Macaca fascicularis: one gene and its partner. The protein of the gene in region 1 interacts with the protein of each later gene in a biochemical or structural test. Links are inferred from orthologs where the notes say so. Each region holds a gene or a part of one and is shown on either strand. Other genes may lie near its edges.

What was found.
Region 2: the proteins of NGF (region 1) and NGFR form a complex in vitro, tested with the Homo sapiens proteins (2 studies listed by BioGRID and IntAct, with this or other methods). The link is inferred for Macaca fascicularis from reciprocal best matches to the Homo sapiens genes NGF and NGFR.

What each region holds. Positions count from the first base shown.
Region 1 is NC_088375.1:119,049,001-119,053,123, reverse strand, and holds the start of NGF (beta-nerve growth factor), read right to left. Parts: upstream 2,802-4,123; 5' UTR 2,769-2,801; intron 1-2,768. UniProt on the Homo sapiens protein: Nerve growth factor is important for the development and maintenance of the sympathetic and sensory nervous systems.
Region 2 is NC_088390.1:57,210,036-57,213,550, reverse strand, and holds part of NGFR (tumor necrosis factor receptor superfamily member 16), read left to right. Parts: intron 1-636; coding exon 637-778; intron 779-3,515. UniProt on the Homo sapiens protein: Low affinity receptor which can bind to NGF, BDNF, NTF3, and NTF4. Forms a heterodimeric receptor with SORCS2 that binds the precursor forms of NGF, BDNF and NTF3 with high affinity, and has much lower affinity for mature NGF and BDNF.

The DNA.
Region 1 (4,123 bases):
CACTGTTTGCTCAAAATGGTCCACCACAGAATTGATTTCTCGGAACTGGCTAAGCCTGAGAGCTGATGGTTTGTGAGATCAGAGGTGCTAGTCAAAGAAACACACAGGAACTCTTTCTGTCTCACAGAAAGGTGTTTTCTGGGAGCATGGGTTGTTTGCACACAGATATCCAGAGATTTTGCGCAAGACCTCAGCAAACCTTCCATTGCTTCCTGAGAGCAGAGAATTTGCTGCCAGCAAAGGTCTCTAAGGCTTGTTTTAGACTCTGAAGTCCGTGAAAGTTCTTACTGGGAAAAGGTAAATGGCTGGGTCTCTGGTCCCGGGTCTGGCACTGACATCTGCTTGGGGATCTGGGCCTTGGCCCTGCTCCATGCCCGGTAGAGAAGAGCAGTGGCTGAATCTCTGTGTAGTTTCCCTGCTGCTCTGATGCAGGGTGCTGCAGTAAAGCACTCTATGAATGAGCAGCAGGAGTGCTCAGCACTCTTTAAAAAGTAAAGTTGTGTGACTTTTTTCATCAGTTTAATCTCGGTAATGATGAGAAACTTCCCTCGGGCTCCAGCCCTGCCCTGCCCTACCCTACTCTCCCTGCTGATGTCGGCAGCCAGGGCCCCCTTCTTGTCCAAGGCACGGATTTCTCCCTGAAAGAGAATGAGAGTGTGAAGCCTCATCCCTTGCTCCCACTGGCCCTTGGGGCAGGGGAGTTGTGGGGTGGGCAATAGGAGAAGGCGAGAACCCCATTCCTTGGCAAGGGTTAAAAGTAGGGAAAGAGCCACCAACACTAGGATGACTGCCCTGAGTGGGCCCAGTTCATTTCTCTGATGGGCCTGGGCTGCTGTTGGAAATGCAGTGGTGCCAGCAGCTGGTTCTAAAATCCTCTGAGGTGCTCCTATACTTCTGCCAAATTAGTGTTCTCATGCCCCAGTGATCTTGGCTTCCCATTTTTGGTGCTTCTTTTTTCCCTTTACCTGCATAAAGATGTTGGGGAAAGAGTGGGGTAGGAGTTTGGCAACATGTGGCATTAAACCCTATCCCCCTTCAACAAGAGGAATGTTCACTTTTTGTGTGAGTCAGTTCCAGCTAGGCCAGTCTCAGCCCCCAGACCCGCCCGTCTCCTCTGACCCTCTGGGAACATTGCCCATCATGAATTAACATTTGGGTTGCTCAGGTTGACATATGACTTATTCAACAAAAGAGACCCATCAGGTTTGATATAGCCTTTCTTCTGTGACTCTGCAGAGGGAGAAAGTTTCAGACATTCAGGAGGAAACTGTAAACACAGGGTAAGAAGGGCTGGCAGGGGCCAATGGCTGCTGCCCTTCTGCACTGCCTAGAGAAGGGGAAAGATTCCCCTCCAGTAGACTTAACTGACAGCTTCAAGAGTTTGAAGACCCTGGAGAGAAGTTACCGATGGGGCCTCCACTGTCATTTCTGCATTTGCAGAGTGCAGCTGGCTGTGCATGGGTTGGGGAGGAGGGGACTGGCACTGGTAGTGGGTGTGCCCAGAGGATGGAGCCAGGACAATTAATCAAGTGCCTTTTCTACAGGATTTCCATTGGCCTTGGATGACAGATGGGGCAGAGGCACCCAGGAGAGCACTATTTTGGTTTCCAGCTGGGAACGTGCACTAAGTTTTCCTTAATACCCACAGCACCCAAAAGGCTTTGCTGTAATACACTTTAATGCATGAAACACCCATAAATTATCCTTCGAACTGTTACAACTTCCAACCTGGAACAACTTGGAAAAACCAGCCTAGCAAGCAGGCTCTTTTTTAATCTCTCAAATCACAACAGAAGAAAAAGTTCAAGCACGAAACACCTTCCTTAAGAATCTCGGAGTTTTTTTTTTTTTTTTCTTTTTCTTTTTTTTAAGAAGGAGGTCTGTAATTAGAGGGAGCTAAGCTGCTTGTTTCTGCTGGCTCAAAGTTGCAGCTCCCTGACCCCCGAGTCCTCTCTTCCTCCCCTAGATCCTCCTCGCCTGAACCCAAGGCGCTGCCCGCCCCAACCTTCCACGCCCGCTTCTCCCACACCTGGCAGCAGACAGCTGGAGATGAAGCGTGTGACCCAAGTGGCACGAATGAACCTTGGCGACCTCGACCTGAGGTTGTCCAACGCGGCTCCGTGGAGGGCCCCGGTACGCCGGACGGACCCCGGTATTGGCTCGCAGACTTCCTGGGTTAACCCCCGGGGCCCTCAGTCACGACTCCCAGCCCTTCCGAGACGCGCTGAGGGAACTGCCCTAGGTCTAGCGCGCCCTGTTCCGCTCGTCCCCCTACCTGGGAGCAGCGCAGCACTTTCCTGACTCGGCGCTCACCTCAGCCAGCGCGCTCTGCGCTCCCCCCGCGGTGCTGGCCGCCACTCCTCCCGCCCCGGCGCGCCAGCTGCCGGCGCATCCCTCTCGGTGCCCATTCGCTCTCCCTCACTTGCGCGTTATCCACTTCTAGCCCTCGAGCTAGACTCTGCCATGGCCGTGGGCTTCTGCAGGCGCCAAGGCTGCTCCCTGGACCGCCGGCCATCCCGGGACTAGGAACTCCACGACGAGAACGAACGCTGTTCCCGCGGTCCGACTCGTCCTCCCGCGAGGGTCCCGCGACCCCACACCCACTCGGGACATTTCTCAGGGCTGCTCTTGGGTCCGCGGGAGCCTCGGGGGTAACCAGAGAGCTCGCCAGACCGGTATCCTTGCATACTCTCCCGCGAAGCCCAGCCACCCCGGCCCGCGCCCGCGCTGCGCCCCTCTCGGGATCGGCTCGGGGCAGCCTGACTCACCGCTGCGCTCCCCTCCGGCTCCCAGCGCTCTCTGCTGTGCCGGAGCGCCGAGCTGCTCTCACACAGGCTTCTTGAATTCTTAGCCCCTCCTCCCGTACTCCTGAGTCACACGCTCCAAATCCTGGCCCCCATCCCTCCCCTCCCCATCACCAGCCCCGCACCTGCTGTGGCGGGGTGGTGGTGCCTGGCTGGAGGGGGTCCTGAGGACTAGAGACGGATCGCTCCTGGAGGGCTGGCCAGACCCAGCCAGAGAAGGACTTTAAACTTCCAGAGGTCAAAGGGAAACCCACTGGGGTCTGAGGGGCCGCGCGCGCAAAGCCGGGAGGAGGATTTTCTGGGGCACCGGCGGGGGTCGTTGGGCCGACTGGTTGGGGCTAAGCGGCGTTGCTCGCAGCTTCCCTCACCTCTCCGCCCTGCCCCCGCGCGTTGCCCTTCGCCAGTGCTTCCCTGGTCTGCCCGGCGTCGCCCTCATTGCCCCAGGCATTGGCTGCTCCCCGCGCCGTCTAAGGGAGCTTTTCTTCGTGGCACCCTTCCTCACCCCAGGATAGGTGAGCACCCAGGGGGAGCCCCGCGAGGGGCAGGTGCCCAAGCTCCTCTGACAAGGGAAGGCGGCTGCAGAACCAGTTAGAAGGCCCCCAGGCACTGGCGAGTCCAGCGTAAGGACAAGGGGCAGAGGACTTCAGGAGTCAGGAGGAGCTAGACCAGGGACCTTAACTTAAGGCCCTGGGTTCCAGGAACTTCCCGGAGTCCCTGGCCCCTCTGAAACGGTAGGCTGATTTGCGCGACTGTGTGCAATGCTAATATTCTTTTCTGGGCTGAAGGTCTGCAGCTTTCATCAGTTTTGCAACGGGCCTGTGACCCCTAGACTGACATAGCCAGCAAACCTTCTGCTTAGGCCCTCTCTCCACACTCCAGGCCCCACACAAATCCTTCCTGACCCTTCAAGATTTCTTGAGTTCCCTGGATTCAGCCTGACAGGGGAGCTTGCCTGACTTTCCCCTGCCCCTCTGCCAGGGTTGTTCCCACCCCAGCATAAAATTAGCAAGGGAGAAATACCCCTGAAGTCAAATTTGTCGCCAAATGTGCACCATTAATTGTAGCATTCCAGGGGATTCACATCTCTTTGGAAATTTACAGCCCCATTCCCTCCTGTGTTGAGCTTGTCTGTGTCTTCACTTCTTCCTTTAGCAAAGGTGGGTTGGACCGCTACCCCGTGTGGATGCCACAGAGGATAAGTGGGTGTGGGGAGAGTAACAGGAAGGGAAGGTGAGGCACAGAATCTCTCTATTGCTGGTGACACTAGCCAGTGCAACCCAGCAGAAGGGCACCCTCTGGGGAGCTGGGATTTAGTGAAG
Region 2 (3,515 bases), on another chromosome or scaffold:
AGATGAAGACTCAGAGGGAAGCTGGGCAGGCAAGACCCCCAGCGCAGACTCAGGATTCAAACCCAAGACCCTAACCCTCTGCTTTCTGCTCTTGGGCATGGATATCTCCCATTTATTATTTAATATGTGGAATTAAGAACCTGGAGTAGGGCCCTGCTGGTGTTTGTTAGAAAAAGGCCCTCCTCTGGGTAGATGCAGCCCTGCAGGTCAAAGCTTAGCGAATGGAGTTTGGGCTAGGTTTCAGCTCTACTTGCCCTGTTGGCTGGGAGCCCTGTGCAAGCTGCAACCTGTCCAACCACTGATGACATCCCTGTTGGTAGGCCCTCCGCTGGGCCTCAGGCCACCTTCCCCATGTGGTGTATCCTTGGGATTCCAGGAGTTGCTGTAACCCCAAGATGAACTTTGCAGAAGGTCAGCAGCTGAAGCTCTGACCTCACACCCCCAGCAGCCTGCACAGGCATACTGTCCCTCACTTGCCTTTCCCCTGTCAGCTTTGATGTGCCTAATGCCTCCTTGGTGAGCTCATCCCAGCCCAGGTGGTTCTAATAGAAGGCAGTGGGAGGGGGTGTTTGATTCCCCGGAAGAGACCCCCGCCTTTCTCTTGCCAGTCTGACCCTCTGATCTGCCTCCATCCAGGTGTCCCTTGGAGGTGCCAAGGAGGCATGCCCCACAGGCCTGTACACACACGGCGGCGAGTGCTGCAAAGCCTGCAACCTGGGCGAAGGTGTGGCCCAGCCTTGTGGAGCCAACCAGACCGTGTGTGAGCCCTGCCTGGACAGTGAGTAGAGGGTGGTGGGTAGCAGGAGGGGAGAAGAATGGGGGTGAGGAGGAGAGGGGTGAAAGGGAGGGGCGCTGGGAGAAGCATGCCCAGTAGAGCCTTATAAGTGGGAAGGGTCCCCTTCCCACCACTGTAAGGTCACCAGAAGTGGGTCTGACCCAGTGTAGGAGGTGTTTCTCCCAGATGGGAGAAGCTGAGAATGGAGAAGGGAAGTGTGCAGAGGGAGGAGGGGAACCCCACAGGGGATCTCCAAGGGGTGCCCATTCCCAGCTCCTGAGAAGGCAGAGGCCTGGTAGAAGAGTGTGGCCGGGCAGGGAGGAATAGCTGATGCTAAGACCAGCTAAAAATATCATCTGCACTGCAAAATCAATGGCTGCCACTTATCCCTGATGTGTTTGGGGGAAGGGAGAGGAGGATCAAATCCTGGCTGCCCTGGAGGCTGACCTTGGGGGATCCTGGGGGTGTGGCTGCTCTCCCCCACAGACCAACTCTTCTCCAGCTTTGACCAGGAAGCAGAGTTTTCCCGAGGCAGCAGGGATAGGGGTCCTGAAGACGTACTTATTGTTGGGTGACAGAGGGGAGGGGAGATGGGGAGCTGTGCCCATTCCTGCCTGGGATCCTTCCTTCCTTCCTTCCTTCCTTCCTTCCTTCCTTCCTTCCTTCCTTCCTTCCTTCCTTCCTCCCTCCCTCCCTCCCTTCCTTCCTTCCCTTTCTTTTTCTTTCTTTCTCTCTCTTTCCTTCCTTCCTCCCTCCCTCCCTCCTTTCTTTCTTTCTCTTTCTTTCTTTCTCTCTCTCTTTCTTTCTCTTCCTTCCTTCCTTCCTTCTTTCCTTTCTTCCTTCCTTCCCTCCCTCCCTCTCTCTTTCTCTCTTTCTCTCTCTCTCTCTCTTTCTCTCTTTCTTTCTTTCTTTCTGGCAGAGTCTTGCTCTGTTGCCCAGGTTGGGAGTGCAATGGCATGATCTCGACTCACTGCAACCTCCACCTTCTGGTTTCAAGTGATTCTCATGCCTCAGCCTCCTGAGTAGGTGGGACTACAGGTGCATGCCACCATGCCTGGTTAATTCTTGTATTTTTAGTAGAGATGGGGTTTTACCATGTGGACCAGGCTGGTCTCAAACTTCTGGCCTCAAGTGATCCACCTGCCTCAGTCTCCCAAAGTGTTGGGATTAGAGGCGTGAGCCACCGAGCTCAACCCTGCCTGGGATTTCTTTCAGGAGGGGAGAGAATCTCATCTTCCAGGGCTGGTGGGTCTGGGCCTCTTAGCCCCAGTCTTGTCCAGGGTCTGAATCCCCTCGTGTTTTGAGTCAGGGGTCTTGGTCCCTGATGGGTGCCCCCAGTCCGCAGTTGCTGCCTTTGGACCATGGGCTCCCTGCCCTTTTCCTGATGACTGCCACTCAGAACCTGCCTTCTACCTGGCACTTGATGCCCACCTGGAGGGCTCAAGGGAACCATACTCAGATTGTTCTTTAATCTGGCTGGGAATAAGGGGATAGAGCTGGGGCCTCTGAATCCACCTGCGGACATAGTATTACCTCTCTGGATGTCCCCCTGAGTCTATCTGTCCTTAAGGCAACCCCAACTCTTGGTGTTCCCCAGACATACTGTTCCCCTTCTCTGTGCTTGTGGATCCTGTAACTCCATTCCCCAGCCAAGAGATGCCTGGGCGTATGTGTGGAGGTGGGACATCCTCCAATGCCTTTGCCATCTTGCTGTCTGGCCTAACAGGGTTTCCATCCCAGGACGGGGTGGCCAACCATCAGCTATCCCAGAACCGCCAAATCTGCCTCTCTCGCTTCCTGGACTCCAGCCCAGGGCTCTCCTCCCAGGACCTAAATGATGGGAACCCTTTCCCTTCAGTCAAAAGATCTTCAGCAGGAGGTGGGGTGGAGGACACCAGGAGAGGCAAGTTCCAGAATCTCTGGAAGGGAAGGGAGGCAGGCAGAGAGGTGGCTTTGAGAATCCTCCCTTCCACTTCCTCCCTCCCCTCCCTTTTCCCCTCCTTCCCTGTGTCCCCCTCCTCCACCTCCAGCTGCGTTAACAGGCTGCCTTTACAAGCCCACTTTATGGGATGGAGACCCCAGCGGACTTTCCCTCTATCCTTAAAACGTTTCCACAAGGAAACCTATTAAGCCCCTGCCTTCATTCTCTGCCAAAAAAGACCACATTTTTCACACCACCTAAAACCCTCTCCCAGGAGTTTTCTGCTAATTTTCTGTGTTTTGCCATGAGCAGGGTTCTCCTTTTCCCCTCCTGTGTGACTAGATTTACCCTCTGTCACATGCCAGCCAGCCAGGACCCTCTTGTTTGTACAGATCAGACATCCTGCCTTGGCTGTTTGTGTTTGGACGTTCTTTCTGCTGTCTGACCATATTCCTACCACCAAAGTTCACTGTTCTTATCGCTCCCAACCCCCATGGGGCCCAGTCTTTATAGGATCCCAACTACATGCCAAGACTTTATGGCTGAATTTCATTTATTCCTCACCACAACCCTGTGACTGCAGATATTGCTCCTTATTTTTACAGAGAAAGAAAAAGCTCAGAGACGTTAAGTAAAACACCCGAAGTCACACAGCTGATAAGCGATGGAAGTAGATTTTTGAATCCAGATCTGCCTGCTCCTAGGAAAAGGGATACAGGGTTCCTCTGTCAGAACTGACTTGAAACTGAAGTCTCCCTCCAGGCCCTTCTTCCTGGGTCTTTCCTTCTCTCCTCTACCCTTTTCTATTTTCTTCTTCTT